Schizosaccharomyces pombe: one gene and its partners. The protein of the gene in region 2 purifies or fractionates together with the protein of the main gene of each other region. This does not show direct contact. Each region holds a gene or a part of one and is shown on either strand. Other genes may lie near its edges.

Region 1 (6,971 bases), 2.7 Mb from region 2:
TTGAAAGTTCTGATTCGTCTGCCAAATCGCTATCATCTGCACTTTCAGAATCTAAATTATCTGATTTGCTATGGCTTGTAGCAGAGTTTTGGATCAGATCTTCCTGTTCCTTCTTCAAGGCATTTCGTTTCTTTTCAATTAATTGTTGTAAACGTGAATTTCTATCAGAATCCTTATTTTCAGAGGATGGACTTCCCTTCGCATTATCACCTCCCTCTTGAGTTTCAATTTGTTCAACCTCCTTTTTTTGGAGAGAAGACTTACCACCTTGTTGATTTAATAATCGCCTAACACGTTCATAAGCAGAGTCAAAATTAGATAAAAAATTCGTATCAGAATGAAGATAGATTTCGCTGCTATACGAGCGATTTTTCTGATTCTCTAAATTGCCAACGGTACTCTCTTTATCCAAAGATGCTTCAGATACAGCATTGCTAGACAATTGCATATCAACACTCGCCAACATTTTCCTCACCCTAGTGCGAGGCGTATCTAAAATATCCTCTTGATCATCATTGATGGAAGCCTCATCAGAAGAATCCATTCTGTGCAACTCATCAGCGTTCTCGTCTAAAGATGCCATAGATTTAAGCACCACAAAGCTCTTATTGAACGAGTAATGGTAGTTGCTTTGCCGCGATACATCTCTTAGTCCTCCTTAGAATTCATCAACAAACGCGACGCGTCTTGACGCGTCGCGACTTTCCAAGCTGCGCTCTATTAACAAGAAAACTACAACATATATACATAAAAATACAGGGTATTAAGAGAATTTATTGTAAAAAAAAAAACATATAGATATCAACTGTATAAAAAGGGATATTTCAATATTAATGTGCCAAAAATTCGGTGAAAATGAAATAAACCAAGGGTGGTTTTCTTTAATTATGTAAAACAAATGTCACGTAGTTGCAGATAAGAGTAAAGCGTTTAAACCATCAATGCTCACATCCGTCTAAAATTTTTAGTTCGAGCAGCATACAGCAATTTGAAACCATTGCAAAGTGCAGTCATATCACCATAAACGTTGCCCTGTAAAAAAAACGCATTTGGAATAACCTTCACCGGCCATGCCGTTACAGGACTATTAACACTAGCTTTGAAACATAAGATAAAGTATCCAGGATGTTGATGATCAAAGCAAAATGCATAACAGGATCGTTTAGGATTTGCCTCAGAATAACTCTCAAGCCATTTTTCGGTTTCCGCTTGTGTACCCTTTCGAAATTTATCATGTATACACATTTCATCTATTTTTTTAGCAATGGCTTTAATATGTAAAACAATCAGCTCATCGAGATCACTGTATTGATAAGTCATTTTTTCAAATCTTCCCTTTACTAGTAATTTCTGACCAATTGTAAACTCATTTTCTTTTTCCAATTCTAACACATCGATATGTTGGTAGGAGCCTTCAGCGACTTTCCATGTAACGACAATATGGTCAGAGCCCTTAGAAGATGGACGTATAACTAGATCGCCAACTTGCATTTTCGACAGATATGCTTCGGCTTGAGAGGCATTTAAATCCTTAAATAACGGGTGCTTAATTACGCGAGCAACTCGTTGTTCAGCCTGTGTTTCGGCCTGCATCCTCTCAGTATCCCGCTTTTCAGCCTCAGTATCCCAATAAGATGTACGATGAGAGCTAGTTTGTCTTTTAGAATTTGCCGATTGTAAAACACTATTTCTAAGTGAAAGATCAACCATAAAATTAGCCTCGTCCAAAGAAATAATTACACCTTCGACTGTTTGACCAACCTGAAGCAATTGGGGAGGGGGTATAAAATCGTCACTCACTTCATCGGCTTTAATATTTCCATCAATTCCACAATCGAGTTTGACGGCAACGAACCTATTAGTAACTCGCCTAACATTCACGGGTACAATTGCATCTGCTTGCAACTCTTCTGGATTTTCTCCGGTTAACATTAGGAAAATTTCCGAAGGTGTCAGCTTATGGAATACATTCCTTTGCTCTCCATAAGGATCCTTCAACTCCAGACGGATCTTTTCAAGAGTGTTTCGCTTCTTCTGGTGAAATTCACGTTCCAGTTGATCAGCATACTCTTCAAGAACAAGCTCATCAAGTTTTCCTGTTTCGTTTTCCTCTAAAAGGTGGTAAACCACCCCTCGATTGGTTTCAAGCTCTTCAATATCTTCCTCGTCAAGTTCTAGTGCATCACTTGCCATTTTTCTAGCTAACTCGTAGTCTTCATTATGTATCCTTGTAGAATCTAAAATATCCATATTGGGATACTCATCATTAGGAATAATGAAGAAAGAAGAGCAATTAATGAAAACTTTTCTCGACATTATTTGTTTTGAAATTAAATCACTACGATTATCAATACGTCCACCGGTAGCAGCGATTTTCTTTAAAACATAATCTGCTTTGCGAGGACCTAATCCCGCTATGTAGGGAAGTATATTAGCTTCATATTTGTTAGTCACTGCTTCGTTAATGTCAATACCCACCAAAGAAGATATATCGACTAACGCAGTTTCCAAGTATTTCCAGAGAACATCAGGGGGAAGCAAATGTTGCCAAGGATCAAATGATAAAGACATCAAATCACGACCCATAGCAGCGTACTCAAACAGAGGGTTTTGTACATACCGAGCCAATGCAACACAGTAGCAAGAAATAGTTGGTAGAGTAGGAAATTCATCAACAGCACGAGTAGAATTCTGATATAGACGAGCGACCTCATCATTCACCATGATTAGATCTACTGGTTCGTGAGACGTTAACGAATCTTGAACGTGTTGACGAATTTTATGAGCAGAAACGCTCATTCCCGAAACACCTATAACATCTGGCTTAACTTTTTCGACAAATTCAGCAAACATTGCTTGATTAGCAAGATCTCGTAGATCGGCAAGTTTTAATGAATCAGTAGGCTCACCCACATCATCAACAAATACGCAGATAATGGCATCAGACGATTCACCTTTTCCATTGGAGACGGCAAGGACTGATGGAATAGTGCCACGATCGAAATTTTTAGTTGAGGGCTCATAGGGAGCTTGATCAAGTCTTGAAAACAATTGATTTCGGCAGCGCATTCCAAGTTCGTCCAGGTATCGAGAACGTAAAGTTTCACGTATGGCATCGGGTGCTAATGCAGAAAACCTTTTAAATACTTCTTTTAATACCAATTCTCTCTGAGCATTCCATTGCATTGCGTTCTCAGAAAAATTATCTGAAACAAAAAGCTCGAGTAAACCTTTAAAAACATCATCAGGATCTTCAAATTCAATCGATAGTTGAATTAAGCCCTCTTCTTCGGCCTTTAACATTTTTAAAAATAGGATTGGCTCTAACTCAAACGAGCCCAAGGGTTTCCGTTTTAAATACTTAAATTCATAATAAGGATGCTCACTACCTATTTTACGGACACCTTTTTGAGTGGCCAAAACAGTAACGACTCCAGCATTGTACAATTTGTCACGGAAAGACTTTCGAAATTGAGGATCATGAATAATTTCCTCTGCTAAAACTCTACGTGCCTTTTGAAGTACCTGCTCAGGTGATGACAGCTCATTTGTCACATAAGTACGACTTAGTTCTTCAGGCGAAAGGGTGTTGTCTTCCACAAAACGGAGACGAGCACCCTGTGCTACGTTGAACGAAAAGTCTTTAGCACTCATACCAAATTCTTTGACGAGATTGTAAAGTGATGATTTTCTAAATTTTTCAAAAAAAGAATACTTCGAACCTTGTGGACGACGAAGACCAGTACCCATCAGTAAGGCACGATCACGGATTTGTTCAGAATAAGTGAAATGTATGTAATCATTAAGGTCATCAATTGCATCAAGAGAGGAAGCAGCTTCACAGAAGGGAACTACTAAATCATCATTAATTCCCAAATCAGAGTACAATTTTAGGATATCTTGCTTCTTAGAATGAAGTGACCAAAACTTGGTGCAAAGGAAAAAAATATTCCACAAATCATTTTGACTTAATAAAGGAGTAATTGTGTTCCTCTCACGATTGTTATGCACTATATAATCACGACGGTGCTGCCATATGAAGGGTACTTCAAGACTATCACGAATAAAGAAGTGAACTACATAGCGAACAGCAGTTTGAAACGGCTCATATAGTTCAGCATCAATATCACGCCTATTTTTTAAGAGATAATCGATAATCCAAGCAACTTGTTCCCTAAATTCATCTTCAGAGCAATCAATGTTCCTCTTCATATAAAGTTGCATACGTTCAGGTTCATCCGTGATTCTTATGATCTCATCCTCCTCGGTAAGCATTTTATCTTTTAGTTCACTGGGCTCAAAAATGGTCTTCAAACTGACAGACTCTTCTAACTCGTCTTCAGCATCTTCATCTTCAAGGGCAAATGCGTAATCTGTTCCATCGCCAAAGACTTCGTATATTTGTATATAATCATCATCCGATATTCCTAAAGCCTCAGGTCGTACTGATTCTATGGGCGGACCAGTCTCATATTTTTCTTCTTGACGCTCTTCGTCTTCAAATTCGTCTTGTTCAATGAAATCTGCAAATTCGTCGATAACGCCAGCGCGGTGGCCTTGCGTGCGATTAGGAGCTTCATCATCGACTTCGTTTTCTTCTTCTTCTTCTTCCTCAGAAAATATGTTTTCAAGAGTCTCTTCTTGATCTCTTCCACGTTTTAAACGTCTCAACTTAGAAAAACGAGAGCCTTGGCCTGTATTCTCCATGACAAGTTCCAGATCTTCCTCATCAAGCATATCTTGATCAGCAGTACTTTCGGCATGCTTCTTACGTTTCTTTTTGCGCCGAATTTCCTGAGGAACTTCGTCTTCTTCATCTTCGACGATGAAACCCTCTCTAACTTGTCGCTCAGCTTCTTCATCAGTTGCAGATTCTTCAGAAGAGTCATTCTCATCATTGTCATTATCTAAAGGAATTCCATCCTTTTCCTCTTCATTGTTGTTGTCATCCACATTTGTGCCTTCTCCATTTTCAGCTGGATAACCATCCTCATTTTTATCACCATTGGTGGTTGGTGACCCGACAACTTCGTTTTCACTCATTCCTATTTCTATAGTGGACGAAGGAACGGCTTCTCGAAGGTTTGCGGTCAATTGTGGCAGAGAAATACAATACTTGAAGATGCGCTTGCTTTAGATGGTGATATTTTAATAAAAGTTAATGCAGCATCATAAAACATTTAAGGAGCACATTAAAATTCACTAGTATGTTATAAGACAACGCAACGTGCTTTGTAGTTCTAACAAATATTCAATCGTACATATAAGCATAAAAATAAAGTGCTTTGCAAGAGCTAATATGCAATGCTGCTAATCTGAATTGTTGTTACAAAATACCACAGTCCTTGATATACAAGACAGACGTTGTTGTTACGATCACGACCATTCGTTGCAATGATTAGTTTTGGCTTTATTTATAGCCGATATCAAACTCCCTTTGAATAACTTACACGGGTATTTACAATAAAAATTATGAAATCCATTATTTCAAACACGTAAACCTTTTGAGCGAAAACAACCCTATTTACCAATATTAAAAGGATGAAAGGAAAAAAAAATTCCCTTCAACCATTCAAAATCCAAGTCATTTGTAAAAGCCAGAAAAACCGAATTAAATAAACCTTTTAAATGAAATCAACTTCTAATATGAACGAAGTTTAGCGGCTCCATCCACGCTCTTTGTCTTGAGAAATAGCTGATGATCTTTGTTTTGAATAAACATCAACGTGATTCTTCTTATTATAACCCGCACGTCGTTCTTTTTTGTCTGTTCGTCCACTAGCACCAATAGTGATATTGACGTTTGGAGGATGAGCAAAACCGAATGATTTAGCAACTTTTGCGAGATCCAATTTATTAATATCAAAGATAGATTTTAAAGAATATGAGGCATAGGCCTGCAAGTAGGAACGGTATCCATCCTTTGCAGACTGCTGCAAATAATAATTTTTGGAAACAAGCTTTTCGAGCTGAGATTGAACATTAGCAACTTTATTGGCAGGAAATTCAAACTCATTCAAAGAAACCTTGGCAGTTTTCAAATAACGAAGGAAACCGAGCTCAGAAGGAGCGAGGAACATAAGGGATTTACCAGTTCCCTTTGTTCCTCTAGCTGTACGACCTACACGATGAATATAATCTCGGGGGTCATCAGGAGGATCGTACTGCACGATCCAGTCAACGGCTGGAATATCTAACCCGCGTGCAGCAACATTGGTGCAAAGTAGTATTCCCTTTTCGGCATTGCAGAATTCAAAAAAGGTGTTTGTACGACGCTGTTGCTTTTGCTTGCCATGAAGATCAAGTACTGGTAAATCTATATAGTTCAGTAATTCTGCCATATATTTGACAGAAGCACAAGATGACATGAAAACAATAACTTTTTTCTTCAAATTGCGTTTTAAGAAGGAAAATAAAAGAAGAAACCGTTTGTCAGAATCAACTACAACATAACCTTGCTCCAATCCTTCAACGGTAGAGGTAGGCTTACCAGAATCAACGTTAACATACAAGGGTCCGGGCTTAAGAGAGATACGAGCAAGATCTTCAACTTTAGTTGTCTGTGTAGCAGAAAACAGGAGGGTTTGTCGATTTTCCGAGGGAAGGATTTTCATGATTTGTCTCATTTCGTCCTCAAAACCAATCTCCAAAATTCTGTCGGCTTCGTCAATCACTAAGGATCGTAAATTGCGGAATACAAATCCTTTGGTATTTTGCAAGTGATCCAGTAAACGACCAGGAGTAGCAACTAATAGGTTAACACCTTTCACCAATTTATCAGCTTCAGCACGGCGATTAGCACCGCCAATGACGATACCAAATGTTTGGTGATGGTATTTCAACAACTCCTTTGCGACACCAAAAATTTGAAGAGCCAATTCACGAGTAGGAGATATAATAATAACACCAGTACCATTACGAGGCTTAAATTTCAATGCATAAAGCATTTCAATGGTAGGAATTAGAAAAGC
Region 2 (4,360 bases):
GACGTCCACGGCGCTCGGCGTTGACGATATTGTTTAAACAATCAGCGAGAACAGATTGACGAACCATTTTGTGTTTCTGACGAGAAGCGCGTTAGTTTTCTTGAGTGTCTTGTTTAAAGATTTCAAGAAAAAAAGGTTCCACCCATTGGGTTCAAGTATTCACTGAAGAATAAATGTACCAATAGACTTCCGCTCACATCTTGTAATATTTAATATTTCATACCTGTTTTGGACTACTTTTACTTTATAAACTGTAGGTGGTAAAAACAGTTTGCAATTTCGCGAAATGCTTGTTTTGTATCTACAGGAGCAGTCACATAAAAACCCTACCCTATTTAACTCAGTACTGATTTGATTGACTTTGGGTAGTTTCAAAATAATAGAAACTTTAGAAATGTAACCTGAAGGGCATATACGGTTAAAAATAAAGTGTTTCTCTTAAACTGTACGGAATTCCAATGTTTTAATATACCAAGGGGAAATTACTTTATATAGAATATTAGACGTTTAGTATTGAATTGCCATACTTTACAAAATTTGTATTTCCTCAAACACAATAAGCATAAGTAGGAGACATAAAATCATGGTATTAAATTACTGTAATATTAAGAGATTTTCGACGCAAATAAAAAAATTCCCTATTATAAATTATTGTTTTTATCATTTTGAAAATACAAAGACCTTGCTCGGTCTTTCACTCTGTCAACCGGAGTCATGTTGATCTGTATTTTACTCCCCTTGTTGCCAAGTCCAACACCGGGCAAATACATCGTCGGTTGAATAGCTTCCTTGATCCCATTTTCGTTAGTACCAAGACCACTTCCTTTGTTCCATCCCATAGAATTAAGCATTTTCATGCTAACATTAGAGGTGGAGTGAAAGCTTGAGCCCTGAGATGACTTTTTAGCCTCAACTATTGTATCACTAGAAGCAGCAGGTACTATTCGACGTTCAGTAGCGCGATCTCTGTAATCAACAGACTCAGTTTGACGAACTCGGTGCATCAAAAGCTCTGCAGAAGAGACAAGTTCGTGGTTTTTCAGATTATTGTTGTGCATAATAGACTGAGTAATATGTTTTACTACATGGCCCCAACTCTGAAACTTTCGCTCACACAAAACGCATATTAAAGCCGATTTCCACACAAAGTGTAAAAGCAACTTTTCTTCTTCTTCAGAGAGATCAGGGATATTGTCTTTTAATTCCTTCTGCGCATCATTCCATCTTTGCAATGAAGTGGCAACCTATACATATCAGCAGGTTTATGCTAACATTAAGACACATACCTTCTTAGAAGCAGGTACATCTATGTAATTGGATGATCGTGCACGCTTTTCTTTTTTTGGTTTCTTATTTACTTCAATTGGTTTAAACTGATCTGTATCAATGCCTTCAGGAACATAGATCGAGCAATATAGTTCTGGGTCCCAATAAACGAGATAACCAGTTTTTGTAGGAAATTGCCATCTTGCAGATTCCGTATATGCAGGAATTAAAACTCCATCATGAATGTAATCAACAGACACTTTCCTAGAAGCTAACGTGAAGCCCTTTCCCGGGTACGTGCGGGCTTTCATAAGTGCTTTCGCTGACTCATCTACATCTTTAAATTCTAGTATGGCATAACCACAAAACGCATCATTAAACTTATATCGAATCATGAAAACCCTTTGGACGTCAATTTCTAATTTGGAAAGTCCCTTCCATAACGTTTCTTCAGAAAGTGAACGGTCAAGGTTTCGTAATATAAGGTATACTGAGGGTACATCACTTACATCCATGTCGCCATTCCGTTTACTGATTTTATGATTTCCAATAGCAATCGAAGCCTGATTCCTTGGCACACGACATTTGAAGCAAGACTCTCTATATGAATAATTTAGAATATCACACTACTCCAACAGTTAGTAAGTAAAAAAAAATTATATGTGAAAAAACAATATTAATTGTTAAAATTGTTTACATTTTGGCAACACCAACCCTCAATCTGCTCTCTGGCCGCACGTGAAAAACGTACAGACACATCAATACCGTCGATGACCAGCGTTGGAAAATTGGCTTCCATCCAATCCTTAGAATCCTGTAAGGAAACAAATTTAGCGAAGGCAAAACAGCGAGATTTTTGTGTTTCTTTCTCTCTTATTAGTGTAACAGTAGAAACTTTAGCACCCGTGGCGTACAACGCAAGTTCAATCTTCACGCATTTTTGTTAGTATTTCCTTCAATAAAAATTAAGTCTGAATCACACATGTTCTTCTAATATTTCCGGAGTCAACCCTTGAAGAATGATTTCTTGATTAGGAACACCGATGTGTCTAGAAAGGGGTGAGTTCCTGTCCCTTCCATAATTTCCTTTCGGACGATATGAATCGAGTAAACGAGGGTTGTCACTACTAATATTTACATCGTAATCTCTAGATGCACAATTGTCCGATATATTACTGCTGGTCGAACCTTTCTCTTCAAAAATTTCTTCAAAACCATTTTCTGAATAATAATCCTTCATCATGTCCACAACGAGTTTTAATTATTTAAAATGGTCTGTCTTATAACTAAACGAAAACTATTCCAACCATCTCAAACATAATTTGTTTGTATTAGGTGAATGTGTCGTCGTATACTTATAAAATTATCACCACCAACATTTCCTTGCAGCAACATCATATCATTCTCTCAATATAAATCACGAAGTGGAAGTTGAATAAAATTATTGAAGTATAGTACATGAAATTTACTTTCAGTAAGTCAATTTAAACTGTCAGTTTTTGAAAAATATTGCTACGTCACATGAATGAAAAAATCAAACATTTTATATGCATAAATGGCCGTGTAATTTAATTTTAATTTAATACAGTCTACCAGCTATTCTAGCTTTCCTTTCCTAAACCCTCTTCTCAACAGATCAGACATAGAAAAAAAACTATGACATAGATAAATTTTTATGATTTTTTATAGCCAAGCCAAAATTATGCAGTAGATCCACGAACGTTAGTTCCCTTGCCATCCTTAGGACGTGCACTTGCCGTTAATTTCCCTTCAGCATCTATTTGAAGAACCAGCTCGATCTTGGCATTAGGAGAAACATCAGGAAGAGTAATGGTGGCAATCAAAGTCTTGGGTATAGCGATACGCTCTTTAATCTCCTCTGGCTCCTCTTCTTCATCATCAGAAAATGCCTCTTCCTCATCAATAGGCTCCGGTTCAACTTTGGTAACCTTTACTGAACGCTCAGCTTCATAAATTGGAATAAAGGCAGCACCCTCTTTAGGAGCAATCACCTCAACAGTCTTTCGAGCAGGCAAAGCAGTCTCGATGTCGAAAATAGTAACAAAGTTCTCACCTTCGTTGATACCGATAGGAGCAGTAAGGTGAGGAACATCAACCACTTGTGCATCAGTAGAAGCAGCAATGTCAGCAGCATCAAAGTGCCCAATCAAAGAAGCTTGAACACCGGAACCGATCGCGGTAAGTTCAGAAGGGTCTAATTGCAAAGGAGTAACTGAACTAGAGGAACGGATGATAGTTTGTTCAGGGAAAATGGATTCCATCAAGGAAGTTAATTTGGGAGTATTGGAGGCACCACCAGCTAAAATAACCTCAGAAATATCAAAAGGCTCCATGTTTGCCTTTTCAACAGCTTCGGTTACAAGATCGGCCATGCGATTTAAAGTGGCGCTTGCTGCAAGGTCATAACGAAGGCGGTTAATGCTACTATGGAAGTCGATGCCGTCGGCCAAAGAGTCTACAGCAGCAGAAGCGGTAGTACCATTGCTAAGTACACGCTTAGTGATCTCACATTGAGCACGGAGCTTAGCAAGGGAACGGGCATTTTTGCGAGGATCAATTCCATTCTTCTTTTCAAACTCCTTGGCAAAGAAATTAACCAACACATCAGTTAATTGCTCACCTCCCAAATTCTCATCATGAACTGAAGCCAAAATGGTCATTAGACCACCCTTAACAGATACAACAGAGACCTCAGAGCGAGTGGCACCAAAGTTAGCGACCACAACAGTTTTGTCGATCAGAACCTCTTCGGAATACATTAAGGCCAAAATAACAGCAGCCGGGTCATGAATCAACTGCAAAACTGGAAGTCCAGCTTCATTGGCAGCAGATTCCAGAGCCTTACGTTGAGCGTCAGTAAAATAGACAGGAACAGACATAACACATCCGTTGACCTTTGTACCCAAAAAGTCCTCAGCAGACTCAGTAAGACGGCGTAAGTGACGGACACTAGCCTCATGAGCAGTCAAAATCTTTTCTTTAGGATCAGATTCTTCGTCCTCTTGAACAGTGATCTTGAAACCAATTTGACCCTCCACATTCACGGGATTGGCAGAATAATGACAGTGATGAA
Region 3 (6,023 bases), on a different chromosome or scaffold from region 2:
TCCTTGACGCCCCATGTTCGGGTACTGGTGTTATATATAAAGATCAGTCTGTTAAAACTAACAAATCTGAAAGGGATTTTGATACTCTTAGCCATTTACAAAGGCAATTGCTTCTAAGCGCTATTGATTCTGTCAATGCTGACAGCAAAACCGGTGGTTTTATCGTGTATTCTACTTGCAGTATTACTGTTGACGAAGATGAAGCAGTTATTCAATATGCTTTAAAGAAGCGCCCTAATGTTAAGCTAGTGTCCACTGGACTTGAATTTGGACGTGAAGGGTTTACCCGTTTTCGTGAAAAAAGATTTCATCCAAGTCTAAAGTTAACTAGACGTTATTATCCTCATGTTCACAATATAGACGGTTTTTTCGTTGCCAAACTGAAAAAGATTTCTGATAAAATCCCTACTGTAAATGTGGCTGATGATATGAAGGATGGAACAAATAATGATGTTGAAATTGAAAAGAATTCTACTGAAATTGATAATATTACTTTCAATGATGAAGCCGATAAGGAGATTATCGAGCAGAATCGTCGCAAATGGTTGAAGTCTAAAGGTTATAAGGTTGCAAAAAAAAAGGATTAGAATAATTTTGGTTAGGTTGGGATTACACAATAAAAGGTAACTGAACATTGATTCGCGTGTTACTACAACAATTATATTAATAGGTTGTCGTAAAGAGCCGGTCTTTATATTTTTGTATCAATCCATCTGGTTGTCAAATCTCAATTCAGTGGAATATTTTATTATAAAGTATTCTGGAATTTTTAGAATAAACTACATATAAATAATAAGAAAGTGAAGTAAATTTGTGAGTTTACCGGTGTCTCTTTTTAGATGGTCTTTCTTCAAAAGCATCGTGCTTAGCATCTTCTTGACGTGCTTTACGCTCCAATTCATCCCAATCTTCACCACTTTCTTCATCCTCCACTTCGCTTTCACTGTAACCATCCTCTTCACTAGCATCTTCGCTGTACTCCTCAGATTCTTCTTCCTCTTCATCAGAAGGGTCGGCATCAGAAGCTTCATACTCAGAAACCTCTTCGACACTATCATCTCCTTCATCATCACTCGGAGCTCCCAAAAATCCCCATCCTCCTTCTTCAAAGAATGCAATGGGGTCCTCGTTGACAGTTTTCATAATCGTGGTCCAGTTCAAATTAAGAGGACCTTCATAGAAGCATATATCGCATGAATCGAGCCATTCCTTTACATTATCTAATTGCTCCATTGGAATTGTATTGATATGAATCGGAGGGCGGCGGAAGTCTTGAAAGATGAAAACCAAATCAAAATTTTTTAAACCAAATTGTACACGCTCCAAGTGTGCAATTTCAATTTCGTTTAGTGTAATTACAGTAAATGGTGTGTCTGTCAATTGAACTAGGCAATCAGTAGTCGGCTGCAATAAAACATTGGAACGGAAGGGAACACCATTGAATGCAAGTTCGCGAAATGGAATGTCTAATTCAATTCGTCCCTCACTTGCTTCAGCGATTTTTTCAGCAAATGATTTAAATTCGCGATCTAATTGAGCACGACGCCGTCTTTCTTCTTGTTCTTGCTCCAATTCATCTTCATCACCATACATGTATTTCCGCTTCTTGTTTCCAGTTTCGTCAAACTGAATATCAGAAACTTCGCGATAAAATTGCACGTCCTGGGTCTTCCTTTTTCCCACCATGATCGGAGCTTTCAGATGAACATGAATAAGAACGATAAGCTCGCCTTCACATGGCTGGAAAAAGAGATGCTTCATATTAGAAAACAAAAGATCAATGTGGCTATCTGAACGTAATGGCGATTGATACCGAATACCATTTTGGTGTATCTCAATGAATCCAGGCAACCGTTTCCCGTCAATAGCAGGGCGAACGTAAACATCATTTATATGAGCAGGTCTCTTGTTCTTTATTTCAATTAATTTATCTTGCTCAATAACATCAGCAAACTCCTTACGTTCAGTTTCACGCTTGGTAGCTGCTTTCTTCATATCTTGGATGTCCTTGAATACTTGCGACATTCTAGAATTATTTGAACTTCTGAAAGTAAAGCTTCGTATGAATTGGGCATTAGGGTCCTCAAACGGTAACTCATCCTTTTTACCGCCAATCTGGCCAGGACTTACGAAATTTAGTCGTAAATACACAAAATTTCCCTCATCGTTTTTACTAGCATTTTTTAAAGTAGATATATGGAACGGGACAGGCCGACCGAAAATGGGTAAAATAATACTTTGAGCTCGATAATCTACTAGAATACGTAACTCACCAATTGCTTGTGGAAGTTGCGAGTCACGCTTGTACGACTCAAATCGTTTGACAGTGGGTTTTTCGATGCCGCTAGACGGAACAGAACCTTGAGCAAATCGTTGCAATCCCTCAGCCTGTTTTCGCGATGCTAGTTGCTTTTGATGCTCAACACGCCTCTTTTCAGCAGAATCATCCAAGTCTCTGGTTTCACTTCGAGTCTTTCCTTTATGACTTGATATAGTTGCCGTTCCCCGAGTAGGTGGTTTGCGTGGCTTTACGCCGTCTTCAAGAGAAGAATCATCTTCACCAAAGAAGTAGGATATATCACCTTGAGCTTTTGGAGAATCAGTAAATACGATTGGATCACTTCTTGTTATTTGAATTGTGTCAATCAATAAAAGAGCATACTCTTTAGACTGAGAATTTTTAGGATGAGGATTAATCAAATTCCCAAATCCAATGCTAAGATTTAGAGTCATCCCGGCTTGAAGAACGCGTGGGTTTTTGGCATTTACTAAAAGTGAAGATTCGCGAAATTCAATGCCAATGCCGGCACCTAGATTTCTTACAAAATTAGGTTCGAGATCAGGACGTTTAGCACGTATAAGACCCAAAATTTTCGTATATATGTCCCCAATAACAGCGCCATCTCTGCAGTATTCGAACAACTTTTTCTGAAGCGCTACTAAAAAAGAGTAATTTTTCTGTTGTTCGGAATCAGGATCAAATAAATAAGTGCGACCAACATTAGAACAATACGATTTGTAGCGAAACCCTAAAGAGCATAGGACGACGTCCCCATGAAGATTTCTATCATCTGTTATAGCAGAAGGCTTCAAATCATAACTACCCCCCGATTGAATAATGGGAGTATAACACCACTCTAGTTGATCCAAGTCTATGTCTCCTAGTTTCAAAGATTTTGTTTGAAAAAAAGCCTCGTTATCAATAAGGCTTTCCATCTGATCCGAAAACTTAGAGTGAGTTATTTTTTTTCCTTGGTCAATATAAGTCGAAAGTTCATCAACAAAATATTTACTCATAACCGCAACACTAACCCGCGATGCTCCTTTTATATTAGCAAGTTCTTGTTCGTCCTTTATAGCAAGACACTTTGCTAAGCCAAGCGATGCATCCACAAGATTAAATTCTGATTTCACTGGTTCAAAAATTGAGTCCCATTCATTAATGAATTTTCCTTGTGTTTTATCCTTAGGAAATACTCCGACCTTTTTATTGGTGGCTCTAATATACTCTATTATTTTTTCAAAAAGCTTTTTATTTTCCTCAGCATCTTTCGTTCTCTTCAAGATGTTAACGTCAGCTGCAGCCCCCTTGGTTTCAGCCAATTTCGTTAACATATTGGCCTTGTTAACTGATGTAAGGATTGTGATTCGATGCTTTTCAAGAAGTATTAAAGTCGATGGAAATTCATAACCCAAGAGCCATGTATGTAGTGCAGTGGACTTTTGATATGGATTCGTATCATCATGAGCCCCTACTGTTACTAAAATACTGTCGCAGTCTTGAAACAGCGTCTTTCCGTCTTCCTCATTCTTCCAGGAGGTAAGAAGTATGCCCAAGCGTTTATGAAATGTAATTTCGTCTATTTCATATTCAGCCATTTTACCTTTAATTAACGATTTAAGATATATTCACTCTTTAGCGAATAGTTATTTTATCTGAAAGGGCAAAAAGGCTTTTTCTTACAAAATTTCTTAAAATTTTGTAAAAAAGAAACAGGAATTGTTTTATTTTTTTTTTATTGATTGATAGCTTTTTTTGATATCTTGTGGATGGAGGTGGGTAAGTGGTAGTACTTTTGAATGTAGATATATAGGGCTGGGATTTCTGCGACGCGACTCGACTTACGCTGCATGTGTTCTAGCTTGATTATTTGAGCTTGTTAATGTTTATAATAGACCACAAGCATCATAAAAAAATAAAATTTATTTATTTATTTTTTGGTTCTTCAAGAGCAGGATGAATATCACGCTTTGCTGTATATAATCGTAAACGGTTGGACAAGCTTTATAATTTTTGGAGCACGAATACTATACATACATGTCTGAATACGTCTACGTACATATATGAGCTGTAGTAATTTAAAAAATCATTTACCTACGTCAAGCAATCCAAAGACAATAGATATTACTTAATGCTTTAGTTATTGAAAAGTGGCACAAATTCTGGAGCACTCAGCTTTAAACGGATTAAATTGATTTGCTTGGTAAAATGAACTGAGTAGAACAAATTATAAAACTACAACGCAAAACTAGTAAGCCATTTATAAAGATCATTTTTACCCGGTATACCTTTGCTTTAGATGAAACTAATTTTGAAATGCACCATTAAAAATAAGGTATATTAAGTGGTTTGTAACCCTTTTACGCGACTAACCAGTTAAATACCAATTTTATCTTAAAAGTATATACGGTATTATCCCCATGAAATTTTTAAAATGTTTTGTATAGCTGACGAACATCGTATTGAAGTGTTTTTGGCTTAAAGACAAAATTTAGTTTACTAAATCTTCAACCGTTACTGGTGGTAGTTTTAATTATACATGGCTAAATGGATCAGCAACTTTATTGTTAATTTAAATAATCCATAAGGAGCGATATCTTAAGCTTCGGAACAAATAATAGCAAGAAATACGTTTCATATCTGGTTATCATGATATTTTTGTCTTTCCAACCAGTGAAGTCAATAAAAATATAAGTTCTTGGGTCAACACGGAGTAACAAAATATACAAATATCTTAAATATAACTTTGTTGTAAGCCTTATTGGTGATATAGGGTATGGCTTAAAATTCAAAAAACGAATTTACAATTTATTAGAATTTGTTCAATATTTTTTATGAAACTTACCACGAAATACTGGATATAGTAATAATATATAGTAAATGCAAAATATGCGCTGCTATTAAAATCAATTTCTAGTGCTGATCCAGGTAATGCCACATTTCATGAAGAAAACAAAAAAACGAATATCCAGATCCTTATATCATGGATCTCATCCATTTTATGTAGGCAGAAAAACGAACTACTACTACGAAAAATGGGGTTCGGTTATATGAGTCCGTGAAAAAACGGCGCTTACATACACACGAACACTCATGCATATATAAAGAGTATGTTTACAAAACAAATAAAACGTTTTTTGTATCACAAAACCTCAAATTGGGTCTACTTGAGTTAATATCGTCTTTTTTGCGGTATATTTGTTCTCAATCCCTTTTCTTTCTGAGAATCCTTTGCATACCAAATTCGCTATTTGCTGAGGAAAATTTAACACATAAATTCTGCTTTATAACTATATTTAGGACCATTTATTTTACAAAATTTCCAGTCAATATCTATCATGCCGTATAACCCTCTTTATGAATCGCTTTCCAATCAGTTTGATCCTTCGCGGATAGAAACAGTATTGGATCCAATGGGCTATACCATCAAGCGTCGGGCTCTTCCAGTTAGTCTAACCATTGCCGGTTCTGATTGCAGTGGTGGTGCCGGAATTCAAGCTGATTTGAAGACCATGACCAGTTTAGGTGTATATGGTATGAGTGCTATTACTTGTTTAGTTGCTGAGAACGCTGGTGGAGTAGACTCTGTTGAGGAAATGTCTCCTGCCTTCGTAGAATCTCAAATCGATTGTTGCATTCGAGACATACCTTGTCATGTCGTGAAAACAGGTATGCTTGGCAGCCCTGAAATCGTTAAGGCAGTTGCACGTTCTGCCAAGAAATTCAACTTTTCGAAGCTGGT

Evidence for each region. The genes of interacting proteins can lie anywhere in the genome.
Region 1: the proteins of rbm10 (region 2) and spt6 purify together in Schizosaccharomyces pombe (affinity purification with mass spectrometry, with the first as the bait; one study listed by BioGRID). This does not show direct contact.
Region 3: the proteins of rbm10 (region 2) and spt16 purify together in Schizosaccharomyces pombe (affinity purification with mass spectrometry, with the first as the bait; one study listed by BioGRID). This does not show direct contact.

Annotation. Positions count from the first base shown.
Region 1 is NC_003424.3:4,211,761-4,218,731, forward strand, and holds spt6 (transcription elongation factor Spt6), read right to left. Parts: upstream 5,102-6,971; 5' UTR 5,044-5,101; coding exon 946-5,043; 3' UTR 716-945; downstream 1-715. Other genes in the region: mrc1 (claspin), read right to left, coding at 1-583; ATP-dependent RNA helicase Has1, read right to left, coding at 5,658-6,971. UniProt on the Schizosaccharomyces pombe protein: Histone H3-H4 chaperone that plays a role in maintenance of chromatin structure during RNA polymerase II transcription elongation thereby repressing transcription initiation from cryptic promoters.
Region 2 is NC_003424.3:1,512,123-1,516,482, forward strand, and holds rbm10 (RNA-binding protein), read right to left. Parts: upstream 2,613-4,360; 5' UTR 2,507-2,612; coding exon 2,249-2,506; intron 2,195-2,248; coding exon 1,964-2,194; intron 1,893-1,963; coding exon 1,287-1,892; intron 1,245-1,286; coding exon 642-1,244; 3' UTR 561-641; downstream 1-560. Other genes in the region: rps2202 (40S ribosomal protein uS8), read right to left, coding at 1-67; ssz1 (putative heat shock protein Pdr13), read right to left, coding at 2,967-4,360.
Region 3 is NC_003423.3:3,669,315-3,675,337, reverse strand, and holds spt16 (histone H2A-H2B chaperone, FACT complex subunit Spt16), read right to left. Parts: upstream 4,059-6,023; 5' UTR 3,880-4,058; coding exon 820-3,879; 3' UTR 716-819; downstream 1-715. Other genes in the region: RNA methyltransferase Nop2, read left to right, coding at 1-587; phosphomethylpyrimidine kinase Thi201, read left to right, coding at 5,620-6,023.